Linked DNA regions of Anolis sagrei. The protein of the gene in region 1 purifies or fractionates together with the protein of each later gene. This does not show direct contact. Links are inferred from orthologs where the notes say so. Each region holds a gene or a part of one and is shown in the gene's direction. Other genes may lie near its edges. The genes, in order: RPL13, RPLP1, NOM1 and STAU1.

What was found.
Region 2: the proteins of RPL13 (region 1) and RPLP1 purify together in Homo sapiens (affinity purification with mass spectrometry; 3 studies listed by BioGRID and IntAct, with this or other methods). This does not show direct contact. The link is inferred for Anolis sagrei from reciprocal best matches to the Homo sapiens genes RPL13 and RPLP1.
Region 3: the proteins of RPL13 (region 1) and NOM1 purify together in Homo sapiens (co-immunoprecipitation; 3 studies listed by BioGRID and IntAct, with this or other methods). This does not show direct contact. The link is inferred for Anolis sagrei from reciprocal best matches to the Homo sapiens genes RPL13 and NOM1.
Region 4: the proteins of RPL13 (region 1) and STAU1 purify together in Homo sapiens (affinity purification with mass spectrometry; 3 studies listed by BioGRID and IntAct, with this or other methods). This does not show direct contact. The link is inferred for Anolis sagrei from reciprocal best matches to the Homo sapiens genes RPL13 and STAU1.

What each region holds. Positions count from the first base shown.
Region 1 is NC_090028.1:27,718,523-27,725,649, forward strand, and holds the start of RPL13 (large ribosomal subunit protein eL13), read left to right. Parts: upstream 1-4,124; 5' UTR 4,125-4,222; intron 4,223-4,246; exon of another isoform or gene 4,247-4,286; intron 4,287-7,127. UniProt on the Homo sapiens protein: Component of the ribosome, a large ribonucleoprotein complex responsible for the synthesis of proteins in the cell.
Region 2 is NC_090024.1:10,970,842-10,978,054, reverse strand, and holds the start of RPLP1 (large ribosomal subunit protein P1), read left to right. Parts: upstream 1-4,212; 5' UTR 4,213-4,353; coding exon 4,354-4,425; intron 4,426-4,738; coding exon 4,739-4,813; intron 4,814-7,213. UniProt on the Homo sapiens protein: Plays an important role in the elongation step of protein synthesis.
Region 3 is NC_090026.1:119,310,112-119,317,230, reverse strand, and holds the start of NOM1 (nucleolar MIF4G domain-containing protein 1), read left to right. Parts: upstream 1-4,096; 5' UTR 4,097-4,155; coding exon 4,156-5,175; intron 5,176-6,537; coding exon 6,538-6,662; intron 6,663-7,119. UniProt on the Homo sapiens protein: Plays a role in targeting PPP1CA to the nucleolus.
Region 4 is NC_090024.1:220,680,126-220,688,041, forward strand, and holds the start of STAU1 (double-stranded RNA-binding protein Staufen homolog 1), read left to right. Parts: upstream 1-4,893; 5' UTR 4,894-5,071; intron 5,072-7,916. UniProt on the Homo sapiens protein: Binds double-stranded RNA (regardless of the sequence) and tubulin.

The sequences.
Region 1 (7,127 bases):
AGAAGGTTTTGGTGGGCATTGACCTTGAGTTTTGTACACCTACATCCAGAGAGCACTGTGGACTCAAACAAAAATGGATCTGGACCAAACTTGGCACAAATATTCCAAATGCCCAACTAGGAACACATATGGAGCTTGGGGGGAAATGGTCCTTAACATTTGGGAGTTGTAGTTATTGAGATTTATAGTTCACCAAAAATCAAAGAGAATTCTGAACCCCACCAACGATAGAATTGGGGCAAACTTCCCACACAGAACCCCTATGACCGGTAGAAAATACTTAAGACCATCCAGTCCAACTCCCTTCACCAGGGCAAGAAAATGTAATCAAATACAGTTTACCCACAAGCATAAAGGAGATTCTTCATTAGTTCATGACCTCATGCGAAGTTGCTTATCAATGTTTTTAGAATATAATGAGATTTCAGTTTCCAAAGTAACAATTTGTTGTAAAAAGTTCTTCATCAATATATAACATCAGGAATAGTACATAATACAACAAGGTCTCTGTTTCCTTGTTTTGTAATATCTTCTTCTGGTGTTATTCTTATCTATGATGTTTGAATTCACCGAATAAGAAATAAAACAACATACAGAAAATAGATATATTAAAATCCCCATATTGACATAGTTTCAACCTTTTCAAAACTATGCATGAGGTCATGAACTAATGAAGAATCTCCTGGTATATAGTAATTGTCACTTTGGAAGCTTAAATTTCATTGTGTTTACAGAATATTGATAAGCAACCTTTCATTTATAAACAGTTCCCGCTGTTCCCACGTTTTGTTGAATGAAGATTTTCCTGTAATATAGAAATTGTGATTTGCAATCTGCAGGTTTTTTTTTCTGCAGTTATTATAGATATCTGTGCATGTTACACACATCCAGTCCAACCCCCTGCCAAGAAGCAGGAAAATTGCATTCAAAGCACCCCTGAGAGATGGCCATCCAGCCTCTGTTTAAAAGCCTCCAAAGAAGGCGCCCCCACCACACTCCGGGGCAGAGAGTTCCTGCCTGAGCTGATTCCTACCTGGGGGAATCCTTTGTTGGAAGGTCTTTGCTGGCCCCAATTGTTTCATATCTGGAATTCCCCTGTTTTCAGAGTGTTGTTCTTTATTTACTTTCCTAATTTTAAAGTTTTTAGAAAAAGTCAGATTTTTTTCATTTTCTGGGTTTCCTCCATGACTACACAGAAAAGCCTTTGAAATCCACAAGCATGTGGACAATTTCAACAGAAAGGACAATTTGGACAATTTCAACATGAAAATGAACACATTCTAGCTGCAAGTGTTAAAAATCTCTAAAATTAGGACAGGAAAGAAAGAACAGCACTCTGAAAACAGGGGAGTTCCGGACAAGAATCAATCAGGGCCAACTAATACCTCCCAACAAAGGATTCCCCCAGACAGTAAGAAATCAGACCTTGAAGTTGCAAGGCCATGAAATGCTAATCGAGGTGGCCAATTGCAACATTCACACCTGCCTCAAACAGACAAGAGTTCTTTATCCCACCCTGGACATTATTCCACAGATATATAAATGCCATTTCCTAGTTTCCAACAGACCACAACCTCTGAGGATACCTGTCACAGATGCAGGCAAAACATCAGGAAAAGCTTTTGGGGGTTTTTAAAGTCCCATCGGCTGTGTTTTTAAGTGTTTTTATGAGTGAAGGACATACATTGGGTTGTTAGGTGTAGTGTGTCCAAATTTTGTGTGACTTCACCTAACTGTCCTGCGAGTGTCCATCACCCATAAACACGCGCGCACACTCACACAAAACCCCAGCGGAACAGACTTAAAACCCCCAAAAATACACCATATATACATATACTCATATACATATGCACATACACACATTCATACACACACACGTATATATATGCACAAATATACATATACACACACACACATATACACACATACATGCACACATATATATACATATACACAATATGCATGTACACATATAAACACACAAATCTATTTTTTTGTTCATTCGTTCAGTCGCTTCCGACTCTTCGTGTCCTCATGGACCATCCCATGCCAAAGCGCCCTATCGGCCGTCACCACCCCCAGCTGCTTCAAAGTCAAGCCCGTCACTTCAAGGATGCCATCCATCCATCTTGCCCTTGGTCGGCCCTTCTGCCTCTTTCCTTCCATTTTCCCCAGCATCATTGTCTTCTCTAAGCTTTCCTTTCTTCTCATGATGTGGCCAAAGTACTTCATCTTGGCCTCTACTATCCTTCCCTCCAATGAGCAGTTGGGCTTTTAATCCTGAAGTATGGACTGGTTGGATCTTCTCGCAGTACACAAATATATACACACAAATATATATACACACATAAGATATATATATATATTTAGAGAGAGAGAGAGAGAGAGGTGTATATATGGGTGTGTACATATATATGTGTGGATGTATATACACAAATATATACACCCACATATATATGTATGGGAGCCCCCGGTGGCGCAGTGGGTTAAAGCACTGAGCTACTGAGCTTGTTGATCGAAAGGTCGCAGGTTCGATTCCGGGGAGCGGCGTGAGCTTCCGCTGTCAGCCCTAGCTTCTGCCAACCTAGCAGTTCGAAAACATGAAAATGTGAGTAGATCAAGAAGGTAACGGCGCTCCATGCAGTCATGCCGGCCACATGACCTTGGAGGTGTCTACGGACAACGCTGGCTCTTCGGCTTAGAAATGGAGATGAGCACCACACCCCAGAGTCAGACATGACTGGACTTAGTGTCAGGGGACTACCTTTTGTTGTTGTTCATTCGTTCAGTCGTCTCCTACTCTTTGTGACCTCATGGACCAGTCCACGCCAGAGCTCCCTGTCGGCCGTCACTACCCCCAGCTCCTTCAAGGTCAGTCCAGTCACTTCAAGGATGCCATCCATCCATCTTGCCCTTGGTCGGCCCCTCTTCCTTTTGCCTTCCACTTTCCCCAGCATAATTGTCTTCTCTAGGTTTTGCTGTCTCCTCATGATGTGGCCAAAGTACTTCAACTTTGTCTCTAGTATCCTTCCCTCCAATGAGCAGTCGGGCTTTATTTCCTGGAGGATGGACTGGTTGGATCTTCTCGCAGTCCAAGGCACTCTCAGAACTTTCCTCCAACACCACAGCTCAAAAGCATCGATCTTCCTTCGCTCAGCCTTCCCTAAGGTCCAGCTCTCACATCCGTAGGTTACTACAGGGAATACCATGGCTTTGACTAGGCGGATCTTTGTTGCCAGTCTGATGTCTCTACTCTTCACTATTTTATCGAGACTGGACATTGCTCTCCTCCCAAGAAGTAAGCGTCTTCTGATTTCCTGGCCACAGTCTGCATCTGCATTAATCCTTGCACCTAGAAATACAAAGTCTGTCACGGCCTCCACGGTTTCTCCCTCTATTTTCCAGTTGTCAGTCATTCTTGTTGCCATAATCTTGGTTTTTTTGACGTTTAGCTGCAACCCGGCTTTTGCGCTTTCTTCTTTCACCTTGATTAGAAGGCTCCTCAGCTACTCCTCGCTTTCGGCCGTCAGAGTGGTGTCATCTGCATATCTGAGGTTGTTAATGTTTCTTCCAGCAATTTTCGCCCCAGCTTTGCACTCATCAAGCCCCGCACATCGCATAATGTGTTCTGTATACAAGTTAAAAAGGTTGGGTGAGAGGATGCAGCCTTGCCGGACGCCTTTCCCAATCTTGAACCAGTCTGTTGTTCCGTGGTCAGTTCTGACTGTTGCTACTTGGTCCTTGTACAGATTCCTCAGGAGAGAGGGAAGGTGGCTTGGGATGCCCATCCCACTAAGAACTTGCCACAATTTATTATGATCCACACAGTCAAAGGCTTTAGAGTAGTCAATGAAGCAGAAATAGATGTTTTTCTGAAACTCCCTGCCTTTCTCCATACATCCATAGGCATGTATACGCAAACACAAATATGTACACACATAAATACACAAAACAAATATACACAGTCTGGGCCACAGCAACGCGTGGCAGGGGACGGCTAGTAAATAAATATAAAGAAGAAGCAGCCAGGAGCGCGCGGCTCCTTTAAAACCGTCGCCATGTTTGTTGATGGCACGGATCTGCATGTCGCTGAGCAGCTGACGCCGCCAAAGGCCCTGATTCGGAGACTTCCGTTTCTGGCCCACGCACAGCGTTACACATATCCCGGCGTCCCGTGCGGCGCTTCTTTCTTTTTCCGGCCGGCCATTTTCCCTCCCGGGAGGTGAGTTCTTGTGTCGCGGAGGGGGACGGGGCGTTATCTGCCGCCATCCTCCGCCTGAAGCGGGGTGAGTGGCTCTTCAGGCGAGCGGGGGGATTCTCGGGGGCCCCACGACTACGAAGGCAGGCTTCTTTGGGGCGGGGAGGGAAAGGCCGCCCTGGAAGTGAGCGGCCCCTCCGAGGCGCTGTCAAGGCCTGGGCCGCCATCGATTCTTGTCAATGGGAATATTTGCTTGATAGTTGGGTTCCGTAGGAAATTCACGACCCTCTTTAGTATAATTAAAGGTATATTGGTGAGTGGGGAGGGGCTTCCTTCTGGGTGTCTTTGGTTTATTCCCATTTTAATCTCCCCATTTTAATAGCCATAGGCTTCATATAGCAGTAGTTGTTGCTGCCCTTAGCCACCTTTGTTTAGGTAACTATGCATGTCTCTACACAAGGCATAGGCCAACTTGAGCCCTCCAGGTGTTTTGGACTTCAACTCCCACAATTCCTAACAGCCTACGGCTGTTAGGAATTGTGGGAGTTGAAGTCCAAAATACCTGGAGGGCCCAAGTTGGCCCATGCCTTTTCTACACTGTAGAATTAATGCAGTTTGACATCACTTTTTACTATTGGCTCATTGCTGTGGAATGTGGGCTTTGCAGTTTTACTATACCAAACATAGGCCAACTTGGACCCTCCAGGTGTTTTAATATAAATTGTATTATATGTTGCAATATAATATATTGTATGTACTACAACTTACGATACAATATATAATGCTAACATAATATACTAGTAGTGTATTATATATATCGTGGTATAATAATATCTCGATAAAATAGTAAAGAGTAGAGACATCAGGCTGGCAACAAAGATCCGCCTAGTCAAAGCCATGGTATTCCCTGTAGTCACCTACGGATATGAGAGCTGGACCTTAGGGAAGGCTGAGCGAAGGAAGAGAGATGCTTTTGAGCTGTGGTGCTGGAGGAAAGTGCTGAGAGTGCCTTGGACTGCGAGAAGATCCAACCAGTCCATCCTCCAGGAAATAAAGCCCGACTGCTCACTGGAGGGAAAGATACTAGAGACAAAGTTGAAGTACTTTGGCCACATCATGAGGAGACAGGAAAGCCTAGAGAAGACAATGATGCTGGGGAAAGTGGAAGGTAAAAGGAAGAGGGGCCGACCAAGGGCAAGATGGATGGATGGCATCCTTGAGGTGACTGGACTGACCTTGAAGGAGCTGGGGGTGGTGACGGCCGGCAGGGAGCTCTGGCGTGGGCTGGTCCATGAGGTCACGAAGAGTCGAAGACGACTGAACGAATAAACAATAATAATATAGTACTATGTAGTACCAATGATAGGATACAATCTATATAAATAAAAATGTAATGTTGCTTTGTGGGATTAACATAACTCAAAAACCACTGGACGAATTGACACCAAATTTGGACACAAGATACATATCAGGCCAACGAGTGACCATCACTCGTAAAACACTGAAAACACAGCAGAAGAGACTTTAAAAGCCAAAAAAGCAAAACATACATTGCAACGCATGCACAAAACCACATATATACACAACATGCACATGTACATAAATATATACAGAAATATATACACACACAAAACATATATACATAGACTGGGACACAGCAATGCGTGGCAGGGGACAACTAGTATTTATTTATACCGCCTTTCTCAGCCGAAATGGCGACTCAAGGCGGTTTACACAGTAAAGATTAACACAATAACATCAAAAGGCAATTAAAAACACAGTTATACAAAACATATACAAATATATATAATACTAACATTATAACGTACTGATAATGTATGTTTTGTGGCATAATATAGTACAATGTAGTACTACTGAGCTGCTGAACTAAGGGACCAAAAGGTTGGCAGTTTGGATCTGGGGAGTGGGGTGAGCTCCCACTCCCAGATTCTGCCAACATAGCAGTTTGAAAACATGCAAATGTGAGTAGATCAATAGGTACCGCATCTGCGGGAAGGTAACTGTGCTCCATGCAGTCATACCGGCCACATGATCTTGGAGGTGTCTGGACAATGCCGGCTCTTCAGCTTAGAAATGGAGATGAGCACCAACCCTCAGAGTCGGACACAACTAGACTTAATGTCAAAGGGAAACCTTTACCTATGCAATAATACACAACAATATTATTGTATATGATATATAATATTGCTAGTAATATTGCAGTATAATGTGTTCTTATTTTTGATGTAGATGTGGATTTGTTTTAGGGATTTGGGGGTTCGTTGTTTTTGTCTTTGTCCAGTTTTTCACTGCATTTAATGTTTGCCGATATCTGTTGTAAACCACCCTGAGACCCCTCAGGGAGACAAGGTGGGATATAAATAAAGTTTTGTTATTATTTTGGACTTCCAACTCTCAAAATACCTGGAGGGCCCAATTTGGCCTGTTCCTGGTCTATATTTTACAATGAATGCAGCTCAGCTCCTTGCAAAACTACAGCTCCCAGGATTCCATAGCCTTGAGCCATGGGGGGCCAAACTGTATTAATGCTACAGTGTAGATTCACTATGGACCATGTAGTTTTATCTAACATACATTAGTTTGCTATTGTGGTATGTCTTAAAGGCTAATCAATAAAATTATTATCAAAACACATTTTACATGAAGTAAATGTGTACTATGCTATTAGTGTATACTCTGTAAAATATTGCGGCTTCATATAATAATTTTATACAACAATTTCGTAATTGTTCTTATCAGTTACAGGAGACCTATAGAATTAGGGAACTTGGTTAGACTCTGCAGAGGAGTTAGTATTAATTGGATTCAGTGGTGTATTTCAGGGGTCCTCAAACTAAGGCCTGGGGGCCAGATACAGCCCTCCAAGGTCATTTACCCGGCCCTCACTCAGGGTCAACCTAAGTCTGAA
Region 2 (7,213 bases), on another chromosome or scaffold:
GCCAAAAAGCTGGCGTTGTCCATAGACACATCCAAGTTCATATACTGTATTATCGTTATATATATATATACACACACACACTATGTATATATATAAGCCGCTCTGAGTCCCCTTATTTATTATTTATTATTATTCACCCCGAATAATTTTTTATTATTATTATTATTGTTCACCCCGAAGGGGACTCAGAGCGGCTTACTATATATATATATATACACACACACTGTAGTATTATTATTATGATTATATATATACAACCCCCCTGTTGCGCCAACTCCACTGGCTACCGATCTGCTACCGGGCTGAATTCAAAGTGCTGGCGTTGGCCTTTAAAGCCCTAAACGGTTCCGGCCCAAGCTACCTATCTGACTGCATCTCTGCCTATGAACCCACCAGGAGTTTGAGATCTTCCGGGGAGACCCTGCTCTCGATCCCGCCTGCTTCTCAAGCTCGGCTGGCGGGGACGAGAGATAGGGCCTTTTCTGTGGTGGCCCCCCGGCTTTGGAACACCCTCCCCATAGAGGTACGATCAGCCCCTTCGCTGATGGTGTTTCGGAAAAGATTGAAGACATGGATGTTTAAACAAGCATTCGGTTAATCCGTTGTAACGAATTGTGATGACTAAGGATTGGTTATACACGGACGATGAATTTTGGATTACGATTCCAGTTATGAGATGCATAGGATTGTTATTGGTGGCCCAATAATTTGTACTGTATATGTGTTTTATGCTTTTAACTGAATATTGTTTTTTAAATGTTGTAAACCGCAATGAGTCGCCGATTTAGGCTGAGATATTAGCGGTATACAAGTGCATTAATAAATAAATAAATAATAAATATATATATAGTCATAGAAAGGAAGGAGGGAGGGAGGCCGCTCTTGCCTCAGGACTTCCACCAGGCCTCGCCCTCAGAGATGCGGCCTTCTCTTCCCTCAAACAACCCTCCTCAGGGTTTCCCGCCTCGGAGCCACCCTCAAGTGGGCCTGCTTTTCGCTCACACGAAACAAATAGAAAACAAGACTCATTATTATTATTGGGAAGATGTGAACTCAACAATGGACAGGGTATAGGGATTTTAGCTTTGAAGATCCCCACCGCTATCACCAGTTGCGAGGAGGTGCTTGTGTGTTGCTGAGGTCCTAATAATGGAAGTATTTTACCTCAGGCACTTTTTAATCTCACCGCTGCCACCAACTGTACAGATGTGGGTGTTATGGAGGGAATTTACCTCAGGCCTCAATGGTGTAGAAGAGAATATTATGGAGGAGGCCAATTATTATTTGTAAATTAAGGTAACGGCCACCAACAGTTTGAGGTACCACCGATGAGATCTGGCTCTACAGACGCAGATTAGTTGAGATGAGACGGTTTTCAACAAAGATAACAACTTTATTGTGTACAAAGCTTATAGTTGCAGGCTGTTAAATAACTTATGGAACTTTGAACATCATGTGGTTTATAATACAGTCCACTCTTCCAGATAAACGGTTCCAGCCCAAGATACTTATATGACCGCATCTTGGCCTACGAGCCCACGGGGACTTTGAGATCGTCCGGGGAGGCCCTGCTCTCGATCCCGCCTGCCTCACAGGCACACCTGGCGGGGACAAGAGACAGGGCCTTCTTGGTGGTGGCTCCTCGGCTGTGGAACACCCTTCCCATGGACATCAGACTGGCTCCTTCCCTGATGATATTCCACAGGAAACTAAAGACCTGCCTGTTCAAGAAGGCGTTCGAACAAGAAGTGCAATAATTGGTAATGACGACAGGAATGGAACAACGGAAAATGATACTGGATTGTGGTTTAACGATGAGACGACGCAAATGGCTTTTTGTATTATTGATATTGTTGATGTTGTTGATGACGATGTTTTTTGTTATTGCTAGATTGATTTTAGATTGTGTCTTGTAATTTGCACCCTGTCCTCTCTATGTTGTACACCGCTGTGAGTCGCCCCCGGGCTGAGAACAGCGGTATATAAGCACAGTAAATAAATAAATAAATAAATAAATAACACAGCTTGTGGCTAACTTTCACTGAAGTGAAGCTCTCTAGTGAACAATGTTTCACTACTACAAATAGCCTTTCAATTTGATCTTCCCTCGATCAAATCTCTGATCTCTAGTCCTTCCTTAACTAGGGATCTTAACTAGGCTTCCGTTTGTCTTCTTTGACTAAAGAATCTGGCCAGGTTTCTTCAGCCCTCCTAGACTGAAAAAACACCAGCCGCTCACACACAAGCCTCTCTCTCAGGCCTTTCCAAGCCTCACTCTCTGGCCTTTTTTAAAAACGCACATAACGTTTCCTGCTTGGCTCCGCTCACTTCTCCCTCTCATGAGCTAGCCAGCCTCGTCTCCTTGGCAACGCTCACTGTGGATTCAAACCAGATGACTCCAGTTTTAGCTACTGTTACAAACAAAAATACATACTCTAACAGTTAAACACAAACATAATAACAATGGCTTCTGCACAATTATTATTATTAGAGCCGTTCAGCAGTGGAATTCTCTGCCCCGGAGTGTGGTGGAGGCTCCTTCTTTGGAAGCTTTTAAACAGAGGCTGGATGGCCATCTGTCAGGGGTGATTTGAATGCAATATTCCTGCTTCTTGGCAGAATGGGGTTGAACTGGATGGCCCATGAGGTCTCTGCCAACTCTTTGATTCTATTGTCTTATCGAAGGCTTTCATGGCCAGATTCACTGGGTTGCTGTAAGTTTTTTGGGCTGTATGGCCATGTTACAGAAGCATTTTCTCCTGACGTTTCGCCAGCATCTAGGGCAGGCATCCTCAGAGTTTGCGAGATTTATTGGAAACTAGGCAAGTGGGGTTTACATAGAATCAAAGAGTTGGAAGAGACCTCCTGGTCTTTAACCCACTGCGCCACCGTATATATAGTATAATATACTACGTATAGTATAATACTAATATTGTGCTATGCTAATATACTGTATAAACTTATATTAATAGTAAGACAATATTATACTATATAATAATATATATAACACTAATATTGTATTGTATTTTGTTGTTCATTCGTTCATTCGTCTCCGACTCTTCGTGACCTCATGGATCAGCCCACGCCAGAGCTCCCTGTCGGCCGTTACCACCCCCAGCTCCCTCAAGGTCAGTCCAGTCACTTCAAGGATGCCATCCATCCATCTTGCCCTTGGTCGGCCCCTCTTCCTTTTGCCTTCCACTTTCCCCAGCATCATTGTCTTCTCTAGGCTTTGCTGTCTCCTCATGATGTGGCCAAAGGACTTCAACTTTGTCTCTGGTATCCTTCCCTCCAATGAGCAGTCGGGCTTTATTTCCTGGAGGATGGACTGGTTGGATCTTCTCGCAGTCCAAGGCACTCTCAGCACTTTCCTCCAACACCACAGCTCAAAAGCATCTATGTTCCTTCGCTCAGCCTTCCCTAAGGTCCAGCTCTCACATCCGTAGGTGACTACATATCTCTGGTTGTATTGTATTGTATAGACATATATTATAAATAATATTGTAATGTATACAATCTTCACAATATAATTATACAATATAATAGAAATATATTAATTATAATAATACATAAGAATATTAATTATAATTGGTATAATATTAATATACCACTAATTAATATATTAGTTATTATACCACTGATAATATACAATAATATATAATGATAATACTGTTTTATTTTGTATATTGGTACGTTTTAAGTTGCCTTATAAGGTTTTTAATTGAAAGTGTGGTGGAGGCTCCTTCTTTGGAGGCTTTTAAGCAGAGGCTGGATGGCCATCTGTCAGGGGTGATTTGAATGCAATATTCCTGCTTCTTGGCCGAATGGGGTGGACTGTATGGCCCATGAGGTCTCTTCCAACTCTTTGATTCTATGATTCTGATTCTATGAACACGCTCTATAACTCTAAGGCGCTTTAAGGCCTGAATCTCCCGGTGGCCATCTTTAAAATTTCTATCTCTATAAGCGCCAACAAGTCCTTCGCTGATTGGACGCTCTTGCTTTCACACCACGCGGTTTTGTCTCACCGGGGAGCATGCCTCGCTCTGATTGGCTTCGCGAACTCTCGCGCAAACCCGGCCGACCAACCCATGAGGCCCACCCTCGCTCTCTGACGCGATTGGCCCTCGAGAAACACAAAGGAGTCGCTTATTGGCCAGCGCGCTGTCCCGAGGCGGCTGCTGATTGGACGAGACGGGCTTGATAAGCGGCGCGGCGGGCGCGAGGCCTTCCTTTCCTTGTTCTGCCTCAGGCCGGAGCGCACAAGGTGCTGCGTCCTTCCGACGAAGCTAAGGCCGAGTTTCCAGCCGGCGACCAGCACCGCGCCCTCTTCTTCCCCTCTCCGGACCCGCCATGGCCTCCGTCTCCGAGCTCGCCTGCATCTACTCCGCCCTCATCCTCCACGACGACGAGGTTGCCATCACGGTCAGTGCCTGAAGTAGGGAAGGAGGCCGGGGAGGAGCGAGGGCGCATGCGCGGAGGCAATGCTGGGAAGCATGCAAAGGCAAACGGGAGGAGCGAGGGCGCATGCGTGGAGGCAATGCTGGGAAGCAAGCATGGGCAAACTTGGGAAGAGCGAGGGCGCATGCGCGGAGCTAATACATGGGCCAACTTGGGCCCTCCCCTCCGGGGGTTTTGGACTCCAACTCCCACAATTCCTAACAGCCTACCGGCCCATGCCTGCATCCAAATAAACCTGCTTTATAGTATCTGACTATGTCATATTCTTTGGTTTTAGGAGGACAAGATCAATGCTCTCATCAAAGCAGCAGGCGTCAATGTGGAACCTTTCTGGCCTGGCCTGTTTGCAAAGGTAAATTCAATCCCAACATTTATCACTGGGTTTTCGTTGGATGGCCAGTATCAGCGTTGGGATCTTTTGTAAGTGCCTCGTAATGGGATACTGATGGGTTGCCAATATCAAGGGATTCAATGAATAGCTTCTAGCTCATGAGAGCAGATATCAGGTAGCTGCTGAAAATTTCAGATACTTGCAGGTTAATATTTATTAACTTGCATCCCACTTTTTTTGCCATGTCAGGAGCGACTTGAGAAACGGCAAGTCGCTTCTGGTGTGAGAGAATTGGCCATCTGCAAGGACGTTGCCCAGGGGACGATGATTTGATGTTTTATCATCCTTGTGGGAGGCTTCTCTCATGTCCCCTGGAGCTGATAGAGGGAGCTCAACTGCCTCTCCCTGGATTCGAACCTGTGACCTGTCGGTCTTCAGTCCTGCTGGCACAGGGGTTTAACCCACTGCATCTCTACATTAGGAGACTCAAAAGTGGCTCACAATTAAAAACATGACAACTTAAAATTATACTCTGTGTATGTATTGCACCGACTGTAGTGCAGCTGGCTGGGAGTCAGCTGCATTAAGATCACTACTGACCAAAAGGTCATGAGTTCGAAGCCAGCCGGGGTCGGAGTGCGCTTCCGACTGTTGTGTAGCTTGCTGTCGGCTTCTGCAGCCCGAAAGAATTGCATCTGTCAAGTAGGAAATTTAGGCACCACTTATGCGGGGAGGCTAATTTAACTAATTTACGACGCCATAAAAATCTTCAGCGACTATGCAAAAAGAATGGAGAACTTCCTGACTGTGAGAGCCATTCGGCAGTGGAACTCTCTGCCCCGGAGTGTGGTGGAGGCTCCTTCTTTGGAAGCTTTTAAGCAGAGGCTGGATGGCCATCTGTCAGGGGTGATTTGAATGCAATATTCCTGCTTCTTGGCAGTGGGTTGGACTGGATGGCCCATGAGGTGTCTTCCAACTCTTTGATTCGATGATTCTATGAGGAAGTACTCCATTGTCACTAATGGATGGTGAAGCGACAATTCCCCTGGTGGCCAGAATACCCTCATGAAAGCTGGAATGTTAAATAGCTTCTGTGTGCCTGTCTATATATGTTGTGTGCTTATGGCATTTAATGTTTGCCACGTATATGTACATTGTAATCTGCCCTGAGTCCCCTGTGGGGTGAGAAGAGTGAAATATAAATACTATAAATAAATAAATGTATTGGCATAGCACATCATTAATATATTGTATTATTAGGATTAGATTGTATTACTTTATAATACTATTATAAAATGTATATAATTTTAGGATAGTATTCTATAACATTTTTATTTATTTATTTACTATATTTTTACCCTGCTCTTCTCACCCTGAAGGGGAATCAGATTAGCTTACAAATTATAGCAAAATTCAATGTCTCAATATTAATACAAATAATAAATATAACATTTCAAATTATAAAATAGTTAAAACATGGATGGAATACAACAGATTAAAACAGTTTCCCAATCACCCTTCCCCCACAGGCCAAACATAAGCCTGCTAGTAAAAGTGGTCTTATGCGTTATTACCACGAGGCGAGGAGATATCAAGTGCTAGTCTAGAAGGCTATAGGATTAGGGTACAGGTGCCACAGTTTTAAATCACAAGATAATGTATATGTTGTTTTCAAGTTATAATACTATTATTTTAAGGTAAGGTCAGGTTGTCCCCTGACATTAAGTCCGGTCATGTCTGACTCTTGGGTGTGGTGCTCATCTCCATTTCTAAGCCAAAGAGCTGGTGTTGTCCATAGACACCTCCAAGGTCATGTGGCCAGCATGACTGCATGGAGTGCCATTATATATAATACTATTATATGTATATATATTATTTTATTAGCATAGCACAATATTAGTATTCTTTTGTATTACATTAGATACTATTATTCATATTAAATGTGTATATATATTATCAGCATAGCACAATATTAGTATTATATATTATATTGTACTATATAATAATTTTCCATCTTGTCTTTACTGATAATATAATATAGTATATTGTATATACATATGATATTATAATGTAATACAATATAATACTAGTAATAATTCAATATTATAATTATATATTTACATTACATGTAATATTACTAATAATATTACAATATAATGGTATAATGCAATATAGTAATATATACTGATATTGTACTATGCTAATAATATAATATATTGTATGAAAATATATATTGTAAGCCGCTCTGAGTCCCCTTCGGGGTGAGAAGGGCAGCATATAAATGCCGTAAATAAATAATAAAATAAATAAATTTATAGGTCGTTTTCCAGTAAAGCTAGGGGTTTACCAGTGAACACAGGTGTTTTTCTAAAGCATGCAAACCAAGTATTCATGGCAAGGGCTGAATTTTCGGTCTCTTCT
Region 3 (7,119 bases), on another chromosome or scaffold:
AGATTTGCAGGATTTTTTTGGAGACAACGCTGATGGAATCGTTCCAGGAGTTGCGTATGACGTCTGTAAGCAGTCCACATTTCGCAGGCGTATAGCAGAGTTGGAAGGACAATAGCTTTATAAACAAGCACCTTGGTATCCCTACGGATGTCCCGATCCTCAAACACTCTCTGCTTCATTTGGAAAAATGCTGCACTCGCAGAGCTCAGACAGTGTTGTATTTCAATGCCAATGATAAATTTTGTGGAGAGGTGGCTGCCAAGGGAGCGGAAATGGCCAACTAATAATATTACAATATAATGGTATAGTGCAATATAGTAATATATAATACTGATATTGTACTATGCTAATAATATAATATATTGTATGAAAATATATATTGTAAATGCCATAAATAAATAAATAATAATAATAACATTTTCTTGTGTTACACCATTAAGCAGTATTTCTGGCATTGCAGAAGGATTGCAGAGGGACTGGCTGGTGACTGCTGGAAGAGCACTTTGGTTTTCTCGATGTTCAATGAGAAGCCGAGCTTCTTGTATGCTTCTCCAAATGTGTTTATAGAGTGGCTTGTAGATCTTTCTGAATGCGCACAGACTACATTGTCATTGGCATATTGGAGTTCTATAACAGATATTGTTGTGACCTTGGTTTTGGCTTTCAGTCTGCTGAGGTTAAATAGCTTGCCATCTGTCAAGATAGTTGATTTCCACTCTGGTGGGAAGTTTCCCATCAACAAGATGAAGTATCATAGCGATGAAGATGGACGTAGCTGCATTCTAATAAGTTGTTGTTGTTGTTCATTCGTTCAGTCGTTTCCGACTCTTCGTGACTTCATGGACCAGTCCACACTAGAGCTCCCTGTCGGCCATCACCACCCCCAGCTCCTTCAAGGTCAATCCAGTCATTTCAAGGATGCCATCCATCCATCTTGTGTGGAGTCCCACAGGGTTCAATTCTGTCCCCGATGTTATTTAACATCTACATGAAGCCGCTGGGGGAGATAATTCGGAGTTTCGGAATGAGGTGTTATCTCTACGCAGATGATGTCCAAATCTGTCACTCCTTCTCACCTGTCACTAAGGAGGCTGTCCAGACCTTGAACCGGTGCTTGGCTGCTGTGTCGGACTGGATGAGAGCTAACAAATTGAAATTGAATCCAGACAAGACAGAGGTCCTACTGGTCAGTCGTAAGGCCAAACAGGGTATAGGGTTACAGCCTGTGTTGGACGGGGTCACACTCCCCCTGAAGACGCAGATTCGCAGCTTGGGTGTGACCCTGGACTCATCGCTGAGCCTGGAACTCCAGGTTTCAGCGGTGACCAGGGGAGCATTCGCACAGTTAAAACTTGTGCGCCAGTTGCACCCGTGCCTTGGGAAGCCTGACTTGGCCACGGTTGTCCATGCTCTAGTCACATCCCATTTAGACTACTGCAGTGCTCTCTACGTGGGGTTGCCTCTGAAGACTGCTCAGAAGCTTCAAATGGTCCAACGATCGGCAGCCAGGATGCTAACAGGAGCGGCACTCAGGGAGCACACCACTCCACTGCTGCACCAGCTCCACTGGCTGCCAATTTGCTACCGGGCACAATTCAAAGTGCTGGCTTTAGGCTTTAAAGCCCTAAACGGTTCTGGCCCGACCTACCTGTCCGAACGAGTCTCCTCCTATGAACCAGTTAGGACATTAAGATCGTCTGGGGAGGCCCTGCTCTCGATCCCACCGGCTTCACAAGCACGCCTGGCGGGGACGAGAGACAGGGCCTTCTCAGTGGTGGCCCCTCGGCTGTGGAACGCCCTTCCTGCAGATATTAGATCGACCCCCTCCTTGCTGGCATTCCGGAGGAAAGTAAAGACCTGGCTGTTTGAACAGGCATTCGACTAAGAGGTGTGATTGATTGACTGACTATCGGAACACGGAATATCGGATAACGAGTTTGGATTCTGATTTCATGGATGAGACCTGATGGATTTGTTATATGGATGTAGTGATGTATTGATATTGATGTTTAATGATTTGTGATGCTATTGCTTTTAAATGCTTAATGATTTTGTATTGTGTATATCTAAATTGTTGTAAACCTCTCTGAGTCGCCTAACGGCTGAGAAGAGCGGTATACAAATAAAGTAAATAAATAAATGTATATATGTCTATCTGTATTATTGTGTAGGCATCGAATTGTGCCTTTTGTAAGCTGCCCTGAGTCCTCCCCTCGGGGGTTGAGAAGGGCGGGTTAGAAATGCCTGAAATAAGTAAATAAATAAATAAAATCTTGCCCTTGGTCAGCCCCTCTTCCTTTTTCCTTCCATTTTCCCCAGCATCATTGTCTTCTCTAAGCTTTCCTGTCTTCTCATGATGTGGCCAAAGTACTTCATTTTGGCCTCTACTATTCTTCCCTCCAATGAGCAGTCAGGCTTGCTTGCTTGCTTGATTTCTAATAAGTGGCTTCTAGCTTTTGCTTGTTGGACCACAACTCCCAGAAGCCCCGGCCACTTTGGGCAATGGCGAGGAACTCTGGGAAATTTATTTTATTTTATTTATTTGTCGTGTCAGGGCAGCCAGTCAATTATATTAAATTTCTAACAGAACAAAGCAAACAAACAGGCAAAATACAAAATTTGTGAGTTTGGTAGTTGATTAAATGTCCTTTGACCAGTATCTGGCCACTTGGAGTGCTTCTGGTGTTGCTGCAAGAAGGTCCTCCATTGTGCATGTGGCAGGGCTCAGGCTGCATTGCAGCAGGTGGTCAGTGGTTTGCTCCTCTCCAGACTTGCATGTTGAGGATTCCATTTTGTAGCCCCATTTCTTGAGGTTGGCTCTGCATCTTGTGGTGCCAGAGCGCAGTCTGTTCAGCGCCTTCCCAGTCGCCCAGTCCTCTGTGTGCCCAGGGGGGAGTCTCTCATTTGGTATCAGCCATTGGTTGAGGTTCTGGGTTTGAGCCAGGCATGTAGCCGGGGGGGGGGGGGGGGGCTTGAGGGGCTTCAGCCTCCCCCCCCCCCCCCAAATTCTCATGGTGGTTCATGAAAAGGCCTTACTGGTGCATTATTTAAACTGTTATGTTTATTCATATCATGATCTGATCACCATACTCAATATATCCCATATGCATGGGGGTATTGGGGCAACGATACAAAAAGTTTGCTAGGCTAGACCCTCTTTCACTCAGACTCAGCCCCCTTGAAACTCACCCCCCCCAAACGGCCCCTGAAAAAAATTCAGCCTCCCCCCCCCCCCCCCCCAAAAAAAAATCCTGGCTACGGGCCTGGTTTGAGCTTGCCACTTTTGGACTCTCACTTGCTGAGGTGTTCCAGCGAGTGTCTCTGTAGATCTTAGAAAACTATTTCTGGATTTAGATCGTTGACGTGCTGGCTGATACCCAAACAAGGGATGAGCTGGAGATGTCTCTGCCTTGGTCCTTTCACTATTGGCTGCTACTTCCCGGCGGATGTCAGGTGGTGCGATACCGGCTAAGCAGTGTAATTTCTCCAGTGGTGTAGGGCGCAGACACCCTGTGATAATGCGGCATGTCTCATTAAGAGCCACATCTACTGTTTTAGTGTGGTGAGATGTATTCCACACTGGGCATGCATACTCAGCAGCAGAGTAGCAAAGCACAAGGGCAGATGTCTTCACTGTGTCTGGTTGTGATCCCCTGGTTGAAGGTACTAATTATACACAGAGCATTTTTATATTAGATAGATAGATAGATAGATGAGATAGATAGATGAGATAGATAGATGAGATAGATAGATGAGATAGATTAGATAAAATAGATTAGATAAGATAGATTAGATAAGATAGATTAGATAAAATAGATTAGATAGATTAGATAGATAGATAGATAGATAGATAGATAGATAGATAGATAGATAGATAGATAGATAGATAGATAGATAGATAGATAGATAGATAGATAGATAGATAGATAGAGTGGCGTCTAGCTTTTGCATGTTGGACCACAACTCCCAGAAGCCCCGGCCACTTTGGGCAACGGCGAGGAACTCTGGGAAATGAAGTCCGAAAGTGAAGCCCTACACAAAGCCTTCGCTGCCTTGCCAGCAGGTGGCGCTGCTCTTGTTTTTGTTTTTCTCCCTTTCCAAAATGGCGGCGCCCATGAAGTGGTGTGTTTGAAGAGAAGGCAGGCCTGCGACACCATGAAGGCCTCTTTCTCCTCACGGGGCCGGGGAAGGCAGGCCGGGAAGCAGCTCCACAAACTGGGCCTGGCGGTGCGGGAGTTCGTGGAGGCCTCAGTCCCGGCGGGGAGCGAAAAGAACGGAAGCAGCGGCTGTGTGCAGGGCCTTCCCAAGCAGAGGCCTCGAGGGAAGCGCCGCGAACTGAGGCGAGAGAAGCGCAAATGGAAGCGAAAGCAACGGCGGTGGCTCCTGAACGGGGGGAAAGTGGAAGAGAAGGAAAAGAAGGCCGTTATGGAGGTGAAAAGGCCTCCCCCATCGCTGCCGCCTTCCTCAGGCAAAAAGGAGAAGGAGAAGAAGCCGAGAAAGGAAGTTCTCCCCACGGGGAAGGCCTCACTTGAGGCGAGGAAGAAGGCGCTGCTGGCGGCCAACGAGGCGGAGGAGAGGGAGATCCGCCGCCTGGAGAGGCAGCTGGGCCTCGGGAAGAGGAGGAAGAAGCGGCGGCAGAAGGGCCTGGAGGAGGCCGAGGCGGCGGCCTTGCCTCGCAGCTTCGCCCTAGATGGTCTGGGCTACGTCTTGGGGGCCTTCGGGCCTGGGGACGCCTTCTCCGGCCTCTACGAGAGCACCACCGAGGAAGAGGAGGAAGAGAGAAAAGGAGGAATGGCCAAGCAAGAGGGAGAAGAAAGTGATGAGGAGGAGGAAGAAGAAGATGGTGATGATGTGGAGAAGGAGGAAGAAGAGGAGGATTTGAGCATGGAAGGAGAAGCTTCAGATGATGAGGATGATGTGGAGAAGGAGGATTTGAGCATGGAGGGAGAAGCTTTAGATGATGATGATGTGGAGAAGGAGGATTTGAGCATGGAGGGAGAAGCTTCAGATGATGATGATGAGGAGGAGGAGGAGGAGGATTTGAGCATGGAGGGAGAAGATTCAGAAGAATCCAGTATGGAAGAAGAAGAAAAGGACAGTGAAGATGGTGGAGATGCCGCCAATGAACTTCAAAGTTCAAGAGGCAGAACTTTGGAGTCGCTCCAAGATGGCGAGGTCTGTGCAAAAGGTTTCTGTGGGTCCAATTCAAACCCTATAAAGCCCTATACCAGTGGTTCTCAACCTGTGGGTCCCCAAGTGTTTTGGCCTACAACTCCCAGAAATCCCAGTTTACCAGCTGTTAGGATTTCTGGGAGTTGAAATCCAAAATATCTGGGGACCCACAGGTTGAGAACCACTGCCCTATACAGTTTGGGTCCTGCCGGTTTACGTGACCACATCTCTCCTTATGAACCAGTACAGGCTCTAAGATCAGCTGGGGAGGCCCTTTGCTTAATCCCACCTCCCTTACAAGCAAGGTTGGTGGGGACAAGGGAGAGGGCCTTCTCAATAGTGCCCCTCCGACTTTGGAATGCCCTCCCCAGGGAAATTAGATGGCAATAGTATGATAGTATGGGAGCCCCCAGTGGCACAGTGGATTAAAGCGCTGAGCTGCTGAGCTTGTTAACTGAAAAGCTGCAAGTTCCCTGTCAGCCCCAGCTTCTGCCAACCTAGCAGTTCAAAAACATGCAAATGTGAGTAGATCAATAGGTCTACTGGTGGGAAGCTAACAGCACTCCATGTAGTCATGCTGGCCACATGACCTTGGAGGTGTCTACAGACAACGCTGGCTCTTCGGCTTAGAAATGGAGATGAGCACCACACCCCAGAGTCGGACACAACTGGACCTAATGTCAGGAGAAAACCTGTACCTTTACTAGTATGATAGCGGGGACCCTACGCTATGTTGCTCGCACAACACGGGTCTGAATTAGGGGAACATATGCGTGAGTCAGCGCACTGAATGAAAGACACAACTGTAGCGGAGTCATAATGGAAGGAAGGATAAAAAGGAGGGGGGAAAGACGACCAATGGAAGGAAGAATAAAAAGGAGGTGGAAAATACTGTTACATTACCTTATCCGGTCTCTTCTGAGTTAAATTACTTCACTGCTATGCTGTCGCAGCTGGGTCTCTCACTCACTCCGCTGTCTCGCACACGTGTTCCCTTCATTAATTCTGACCCTCGTTGCGCAATTAGCGTAGGGTCTCAGCTATCATACTTTTGCCAATTAGACAAGCACCCACCCTCATAACATTCAGGAAGGAGATGAAAACCTGGTTGTTTAAGCAGGCTTTTAATAATGGCTAAAAGTATCATGCATCCTGAAATGGTTTGGGATGTGTAGTATTACTAGTTATTATCCTCATGGCACTAACTGCCTATGCTTTTTTTTAAAGTAGCCTTTTGTGAAGTTCACATTGATAGTATAATGAAATACATACAATGAACTGCTTAGTCATCTTCAATCTAAATATTCAGATATATTCTGAAATACAAAATTACTTACTAAAACATTTTGTCCTTGTTTTGTTTAGAGCCTTACCCAGAGTGCCACTAAATATGTTCCCCCTCAGATGCGAAGGTCTGAAGAGACATTAGATGCAAAGAAGATGGAAGAATTAGAAAGGCTGAAAAAAAGTTTGAAAGGTTTAATTAACAGGTACTCCAGAAATTGTGTTAACCAACTTTGTCTTAGAGTTCAACCAACAGGGCTTGAGTAGAACTTATTTTTCATGGCTGCATGTCTAGCACCTCTTTTGCTTTGTCGTTTGGCTTTTCAGAACAAAATTAGTATCTTTCCTCCCTTCCACTCCATATGTGTGATCATATGCTAGGTTTGATATGAAACATGGCATCTGACATTCAGATTCTCAGCCAGCAATTTTGAAAGAGGTTTATTTATCTCCACAATTATTCTGTTAATGTTTATGGAGCTTAAGAAAGTTTGTAATCTGTATTAAATACATGCAGTTTATCACAAATGAGGCTGGGTTCTATAGGTATGTTTCATCTGAAGAAAATAGATTTAAATGCATATACAGTATGTTTATTCAAAGTTGCATCTGATCACCCTTAAATCATAACTAGGATCTTGTAATTCTCCAGAAGTTTCAGGA
Region 4 (7,916 bases), on another chromosome or scaffold:
GACACTGCATTCCTATTTATGCAGGCCAAAATCCCATTGGCTTTTTTAGCTGCCCCATGGCATGGCTTATGTTTAACTTGTTGTCCACGAGGACTCTAAGATCAGCTTAAGAGACTGAGGGGGAAAAGGAAGGGGCCTGAGGCTGTAAGGAATTATTATTATTATTATTATTATTATTATTATTATTATTATTATCTTTATTTGTACCCCGCTAGCATCTCCCGAAGGACTTGATGCGGCTTACAAAGGCCAAGGCCTCAAAACACAACATAATGATACAAAAACCGAAATCAAATTAAAACAATTAAAGCAATATTAAACAACAAGCAATAAGCAATACACCAAGACACAATAAAACTGGGCCGGGCCAGAGTAATGGGTACAGAATTAAAAGTGCTGATGTGACAGGTGATATGTAAGGATTATAGGGCAAGTGCAGTGTGCAGTGCTCAGCAATCTCAATCCTACTAAAGTGCTTTTGGGACTTATTATGGAGTTTTCCTATTCTGGGAAGGCACATCGGAACAGCCAGGTCTTCAAGTTCTTTCTAAAGACTGCCAATGTAGGGGCGTGTCTAAGATCTTTGGTAAGGGTGTTCCAGAGTCGGGGGGCCACCATAGAAAAGGCCCTGTCTCGCGTCCCCATCAAACACGCCTGCAACGCAGGCAGAATCACGAGCAGGGCCTCTCCGGATGAGCGCAGTGAGTGCGTGGGTTCGTAAACGGAGATGCGGTCATGCAGGTAGGATGGCCCCAAACCGTTTAGGGCTTTGTAGGTAAGCACCTGCACCTTAAACTGGGCTCGGAAAATAAACGGCAGCCAGTGGAGTTCCTTAAACAGGAGGGTTGACCTCTCTCTGTAAGGAGCACCAGTTAACATCCTGGCCGCTGCCCATTGGACCAGTTGGAATTTCTGAGCCGTTTTCAAGGGCAGCCCCACGTAGAGCGCATTACAGTAGTCCAATCTAGAGGTGACCAAGGCATGGATCACTCCGGACAGATCAGCCTTCGCGAGGTAAGGAATGGTGGGAGTTGCAGTCCAAAACACCTGGAGGGCCCAAGCTTGCCCCTGCCTGGTGCAGCTGCCCCCTTATACACCTTATATACAATTTCACAAACAATATGGATAATAATTGCGTGCAGTATCTTGTGTACAGCCCACACAAGAACAACACTGGTCTTTGGATCCATTCTAGATTGAGTCTTGACAGCAAGAAGAACCGGCATCCGAGGACGGATTGGCAATAGCACACCCTTCCGCTTGGCTCCAGAGCTGTAAATCCCACCTCCTGCAAGGCATGCCGGGAGTTGTAGGATTCTGAGCTGCCGCGTGGAGGCAGGCGATAAGCCCTGAAGTTGAGGAGTTGCGTCACTTCCGGGAAGTGCACTTCAAACTTGCTGGGAAACGTAGTTATTTTGAGAGCGGCGAGCGAGAAGGAGAGAGGGCAGATAGGAGTGGGATCATATTGGGAAAGCTTATATATATTAATGATGATGTTAAGTGTTGTTATTAATGATATTTTATTTATTCATCATGGCAGAAGCTAATTGAGAATACAGTTGTAATGTATAAAGAAACCACAAAGTTAAAAACTTGGCATTATACTAAATTTACAATGTATTTTTGAAAGCTTTCATGGCTGGAATCACTAGGTTGTAGGTTTTTGGGGCTATATGGCCATGTTCTAGAAGCATTCTCTCCTGACGTTTCACCCACATCTATGGTAAGTATCCTCAGAGGTTGTGAGGACCTCACAACCTCTGAGGATGCTTGCCATAGATGCAGGCCAAACGTCATAGCATCATAGAATCAAAGAGTTGGAAGAGACCTCGTGGGCCATCCAGTCCAACCCCCTGCCAAGAAGCAGGAATATTGCATTCAAATCACCCCTGACAGATGGCCATCCAGCCTCTGTTTAAAAGCTTCCAAAGAAGGAGCCAACACCACACTCCGGGGCAGAGAGTTCCACTACTGAACGGCTCTCACAGTCAGGAAGTTCTTCCTCGTGTTCAGATGGAATCTCCTCTCTTGTAGTTTGAAGCCATTGTTCCGCGTCCTAGTCTCCAAGAAAGCAGAAAACAAGCTTGCTCCCTCCTCCCTGTGGCTTCCTCTCACATATTTATACATAGCTATCATATCTCCTCTCAGCCTTCTCTTCTTCAGGCTAAACATGCCCAGCTCCTTAAGCTGCTCCTCATAGGGCTTGTTCTCCAGACCCTTGATCATTTTAGTCGCCCTCCTCTTGACACATTCCAGCTTGTCAGAATAAGAGAATTCTTCTAGAACATGGCCATATAGCCCGAAAAACCTACAACAACCCATTTCCTTTGACTAGAAGCTGGCCACTTCGAGTGCCTTTGGTATCGCTGTGGCAAGGTCCTCCATTGTGCATGTGGCAGGGCTCAGATCATATTGTAGTAAGTCGGTGGTTTTCAACCTGTGGGTCCCCAGGTGTATTGGCCTACAACTCCCAGAAATCCCAGCCAGTTTACCAGCTGTTAGGATTTCTGGGAGTTGAAGGCCAAAACATCTGGGGACCCATAGGTTGAAAACCACTGTAGTAAGTGGTCTGTGGTTTGCCCTTCTCTACATTCGCATGTCGTGAACTCCACTTGGTAGCACTATCTCTTAAGATTGGCTCCTTATCTCGTACCAAAATGCAGTTAGTTCAGCACCTTCCAACTCGCCCAGTATCCTGTGTGCCCAGGGGGTGGAAGGGATCTTCTCATTTGGTATTGGCCACTGATTGAGATTCCAAGTTTTAGCCTGCCACTTTTGGATTCTAGCTTGCTGAGATGTTCCTGCGAGTATCTCTAGATCTTAGAAAAATATTTTTTTGATTTATGATGTTGTCCTATTGCAGTGGTTCTCAACCTGGGGTCCCCAGATGTTTTTTGGTAAACTGGCTGGGATTCCTGGGAGTTGTAGGTCAAAACACCTGGGGACCCACAGGTTGAGAACCATTGTCCTATTGCCTGATATTTGAACAGAGGATGTCAATGCCTTGGTCCTTTCATTACAGGCTGCTACTTCCCACCGGATGACAGGTGATGTAATACAGACTAAACAGTATAATTTCTCCAGCGGGGTAGATGTAGGCATACTGTGATAATGCGGCATGTCTCATTAAGAGCCACATCCACTGTTTTAACATAGTGAGATGTATTCCACACTGGGCATGCATACTCAGCATCAGAGTAGCAAAACACAAGGGCTGATGTCTTCACTGTATCTGGTTGTGACCCCCAGGTTGTGCCAGTCAATTTTCGTATGATACTATTTCTGGCACCCACTTTTTGCTTGATATTTTTAAAGTTTATATTGATGTTATCTATGTGTTGTTTTGATTTGTTTTGTTGCTCACTTTGGCATTGAATGTTTGCTGTTTTTTTCTTTTCTTTTCTGGAAGCTGCTGGGGAGATAGGGCAGGTTACAAATACATTATTATTATTATTATTATTATTATTATTATTATCATTATTATTATTATTATTTCCGTGCCTTTTTTGATCATTTTGTTTTGTACTTTATTGTATTTTAACATGTTGGAAGCCACTTTGGCTCCCTTTGTGGGAGAAAAGCAGGATATAATTAAAGATTCATTATTGTTGTTATTTGATACACAACAAGATTGGCACACAGCAAATAACATAACTGCTGGCTTTTGTATTCAATCACACATTGGACACTCCTCAAGTGTCTAGGACTGTGTGAGGTATCGGCGAATAATGTGTGCAGAGCCGAGTAGGGTGGCCTTTTGCAGCTGACAAGATGGTAATTTTGTCAGCGGTGATTGTTTTTAAGCACAGGCCAAGGCCTTTCAGCACTGCACCCAGTGTGCTGATCACCACTGGGACCATTATTATTATTTATATTTCTCATTATGTTCTGTTCTGTTTATCATTTGTCTTAATTTCTAAAGTATTATGTGGTTATTGTTATTTTGTATGGCTTTGCCTTGTCGTAAGCCATTCAGAGTCCCCTACAGGAGAGGGGCTGGATATAAATAAAGATATTATTATTATTATTGATAGAATCATAGAGTTGGAAGAGACCTCGTGGGCCATCCAGTCCAACCCCCTGCCAAGAAGCAGGAATGTTGCATTCAAATCACCCCTGACAGATGGCCATCTAGCCTCTGTTTAAAAACCTCCAAAGAAGGAGCCTCTACCACACTCCGGCGCAGAGATTTCCACTGCTGAATGGCTCTTACAGTTAGGAAGTTCTTCCTCACGTTCAGGTGGAATCTCCTTTCCTGTAGTTTGAAACCATTGTTCCGCGTCCTAGTCTCCAAGGAAGCAGAAAACAAGCTTGCTCCCTCCTCCCTGTGGCTTCCTCTCACATATTTATACATGGCTATCATATCCCCTCTCAGCCTTCTCTTCCTCAGGCTAAACATGCCCAGCTCCTTAACCCGCTCCTCATAGGGCTTGTTCTCCAGACCCTTGATCATTTTAGTCGCCCTCCTCTGGACACATTCCAGCTTGTCAATATCTCTCTTGAATTGTGGTGCCCAGAATTGGACACAATATTCCAGGTGTGGCCTAACCAAAGCAGAATAGAGGGGTAGCATGACTTCCCTAGATCCAGACACTATGCTCCTATTGATGCAGGCCAAAATCCCATTGGCTTTTTTTTTGCCGGTACATCACATTGTTGGCTCATGTTTAACTTGTTGTCCACGAGGACTCCAAGATCTTTTTCACACATACTGCTAAGCGGCTGAGGGGGAAAAAGAAAGGGCCTGAGGCTGTGAGGATTGGTTGTAGTTGAAGTCCAAACACCTGGAAGGCCCAAGTTCGCCCATGCTTGGTCTGTATAAATAGCAAGTGGAGTAGGGCCCCGCCCCTTACGCCGCCGCGCCTGCGTCACTTCCTCCCCCGGCCGGAGCTGGCCCCGCTCTCATTCTCTTTAGTGTTTGCCCTGTGCCTGCCTCCGCCGCCGCCACTCGCTCGCCTCCCCTCCCGCCCTGGACCCCTCCCCGCCCGCCCTGCCCGGAGCCTCCGATGGACTGAGCCGCCCGCCGCCCACACGAGCCGGCCCGGGAGCCGCAGCCCAGAAGAAGCACCAGGTGAGGGAAGGGAGGGAAGAGGCTGGGACGCCCCCCTCCCGTGGCCTCCCCTCGCAGCCCTTCGGGGGAGAAGGAAGAGCAGGAGGAGGAGGAGGAGACCGCGGTTGGGCCTAAGCCCAGGAGGAGGAGGAGGAGGGGTCTGGCGGAGGCTCCTCTCCTCTCCTCTGGTTGAAGGCCGGCCGGTGGGGGCGCCCGACTGCGGAGGAAGACCCCTTCCCCGGGGAACTCCAGCTTCCCGATTATAAATGGCCCCCACGAGAGGCCGAGAGAGTGACACCTTGACTTTTCAGATGGTGAAAGGTTCCCCCCTCCCCATGAGAGGGGGAGACACCCACGAGGGCCTTCCACACAGCCATATAACCCAGAATATCAAGGCAGATAATCCACAATGTCTATTTGGAACTGAGTTATCTGAGGGTCCTTCCGCACAGCCATATAACCCAGAATATCAAGGCAGATAATCCACAATATCTGGTTGGAACTGGGTTATCTGAGAGCCCTTCCACACAGCCATACAACCCAGAATATCAAGGCAGATAATCCACAATATCTGCTTGGAACTGGGTTATTTTAGGGCCCTTCCACACAGCCATATAACTCAGAATATCAAGGCAGATAATCCACAACATCTAGTTTGAATTGGGTTATTAGAAGGCCCTTCCACACAGCCATATAACTCGGAATATCAAGGCAGATAATCCACAATATATGTTTGAATCTGGGTTATTAGAAGGCCCTTCCACACAGCTATATAACTCAGAATATCAAGGCAGATAATCCACAATATCTGCTTGGAACTGGGTTATTTTAGGGCCCTTCCACACAGCCATATAACTCAGAATATCAAGGCAGATAATGCACAATATCTGTTTGTTACTGGGTTAACTGAGGGCCCTTCCACCCAGCCATATAACTCAGAATATCAAGGCAGATAATCCCCAATATCTATTTGGAACTGGGTTATCTCAGGTCCCTTCCACACAGCCATATAACTCAGAATATCAAGGTAGATAATCCACAACATCTAGTTTGAATTGGGTTATCTGAGGGACCTTCCACATAGCCATATAACCCAGAAAATCAAGGCAGATAATTTGCAATATCTGGTTGGAATTGGGTTATCTGAGGGCCCTTCCACACAGCCATATAACCCAGAAAATCAAGGCAGATAATCCACAATACCTATTTGGAACTGGGTTATCTGAGGGCCTTTCCACACAGCCATATAACCCAGAAAATCAAGGCAGATAATCCACAATGCCTATTTGGAACTGGGTTATCTGAGGGCCCTTCCACACAGCCATATAGCCCAGGATATCAAGGCAGAAAATCCCGCAATATCTGCTTTTAACTAGAGCCCCTTCCACACAGCTGAATAAAAACCCACATTATCTGCTTTGAATTGGATTGTATAAGTGTGAACTCAGATAACCCAGTTCTAGAGCAAATATTGTGGGATTTTCTGTCTTGATATTCTGACTGTGGGCCCTTCCACACAGCCCTATATCCCAGAATATCAAGGCAGAAAATCCCACAATATCTGCTTTGAATTGGGTTATTGGAGTCCACACAGATAATGTGAGATTTTCAGCCTTGATATTCTGGGATATAGAACTGTGTGGAAGGGGCCCTAGGGCCTCTTCCACACAGCTGTATAAAATCTACATTGAACTGAATTATATGGTAGTCTGGACTCGGGGCCCTTCCATACAGCCCTATATCCCACAATATCAAGGCAGGAAATCCCACATTATCTGAGTGTGGACTCAGATCACCCGGTTCAAAGCAGATATTGTGGGATTTTCTGCCTTGATATTCTGGGTTATGTAGCTTTGTGGAAGGCCTCCTAGCCTGTGTGCAGGGAGCCACCCTCATGAGTGTCTCAACGTCTAATGTGGGATTTTATTCAGCTGTGTGGAAGGGGGCTTGGCTTAATGTGCAGAATGTTGTTCCAAGAATACGGTGTATGAAACTACCTTCCTACGAAACGTAAACGGGTCCTTGTGTTTGGGCGTGTTGTCTCGTGTGTACATATGCAGGTGTTTCAAAATCTCAGGTCAAAATTACCCTTCCACACAGCTGTATAAAATTCACAGTGAACTTGTTGATATGGCTCAGGCCCCTGGCACTCAGCTGAACAAAATCCCACATTTTCTGCTTTGAACTGGATTATTTGGTAGATATCCCAGTTCAAAGCAGATATTGTGGGATATTCTACCTTGATATTCTGGGTTATATGGCTGTGTGGAAGGGCCCAATGACACTTCTGGCCCCAAGGATTTCAGATCAGGAATACTCCATCTATACAAGGGAAATTTATTTTCTGTTGCCTGTTTGACCTTCTTCTCTACACCTCTCAATTTCTTCTGGGTTTGCAGCTCGCACATCTGTCGCTCCTCATTGCCTCCTCCTCTATAGGCCCTTCCACATAGTCATATAAACCAGAATATCAAGGCAGAAAATCCCACAATATATGCTTTGAACTGGATTATCTGAGTCCACACTGCCATATATTCCTGTTCAAAGCAGATAATGTGGAATTTTATTCAGCTGTGTGGAAGGGGCCTATATCTTCTTTTTTGTGGATTTCCCAGAGACATCTGTGGTTTGGCAGATATGGGGCACAGAGAGACTTATGGTTTGATCCAGGCAGGATTGCTGTTGTGTTATGCATCTGAGGGATAACACTGGTTTACATTATGCTACCAAACTGATTCAGGATGCATCTATGCCAGCCATGGGTAAACTTGGGCCCTCAGGGCATTTTGGACTTCAACTCCTAACAGCTGGTATATGATCTATGCTGTAGAATTCATGTAAAATGCTGTAGAATCAAGGGGGACTG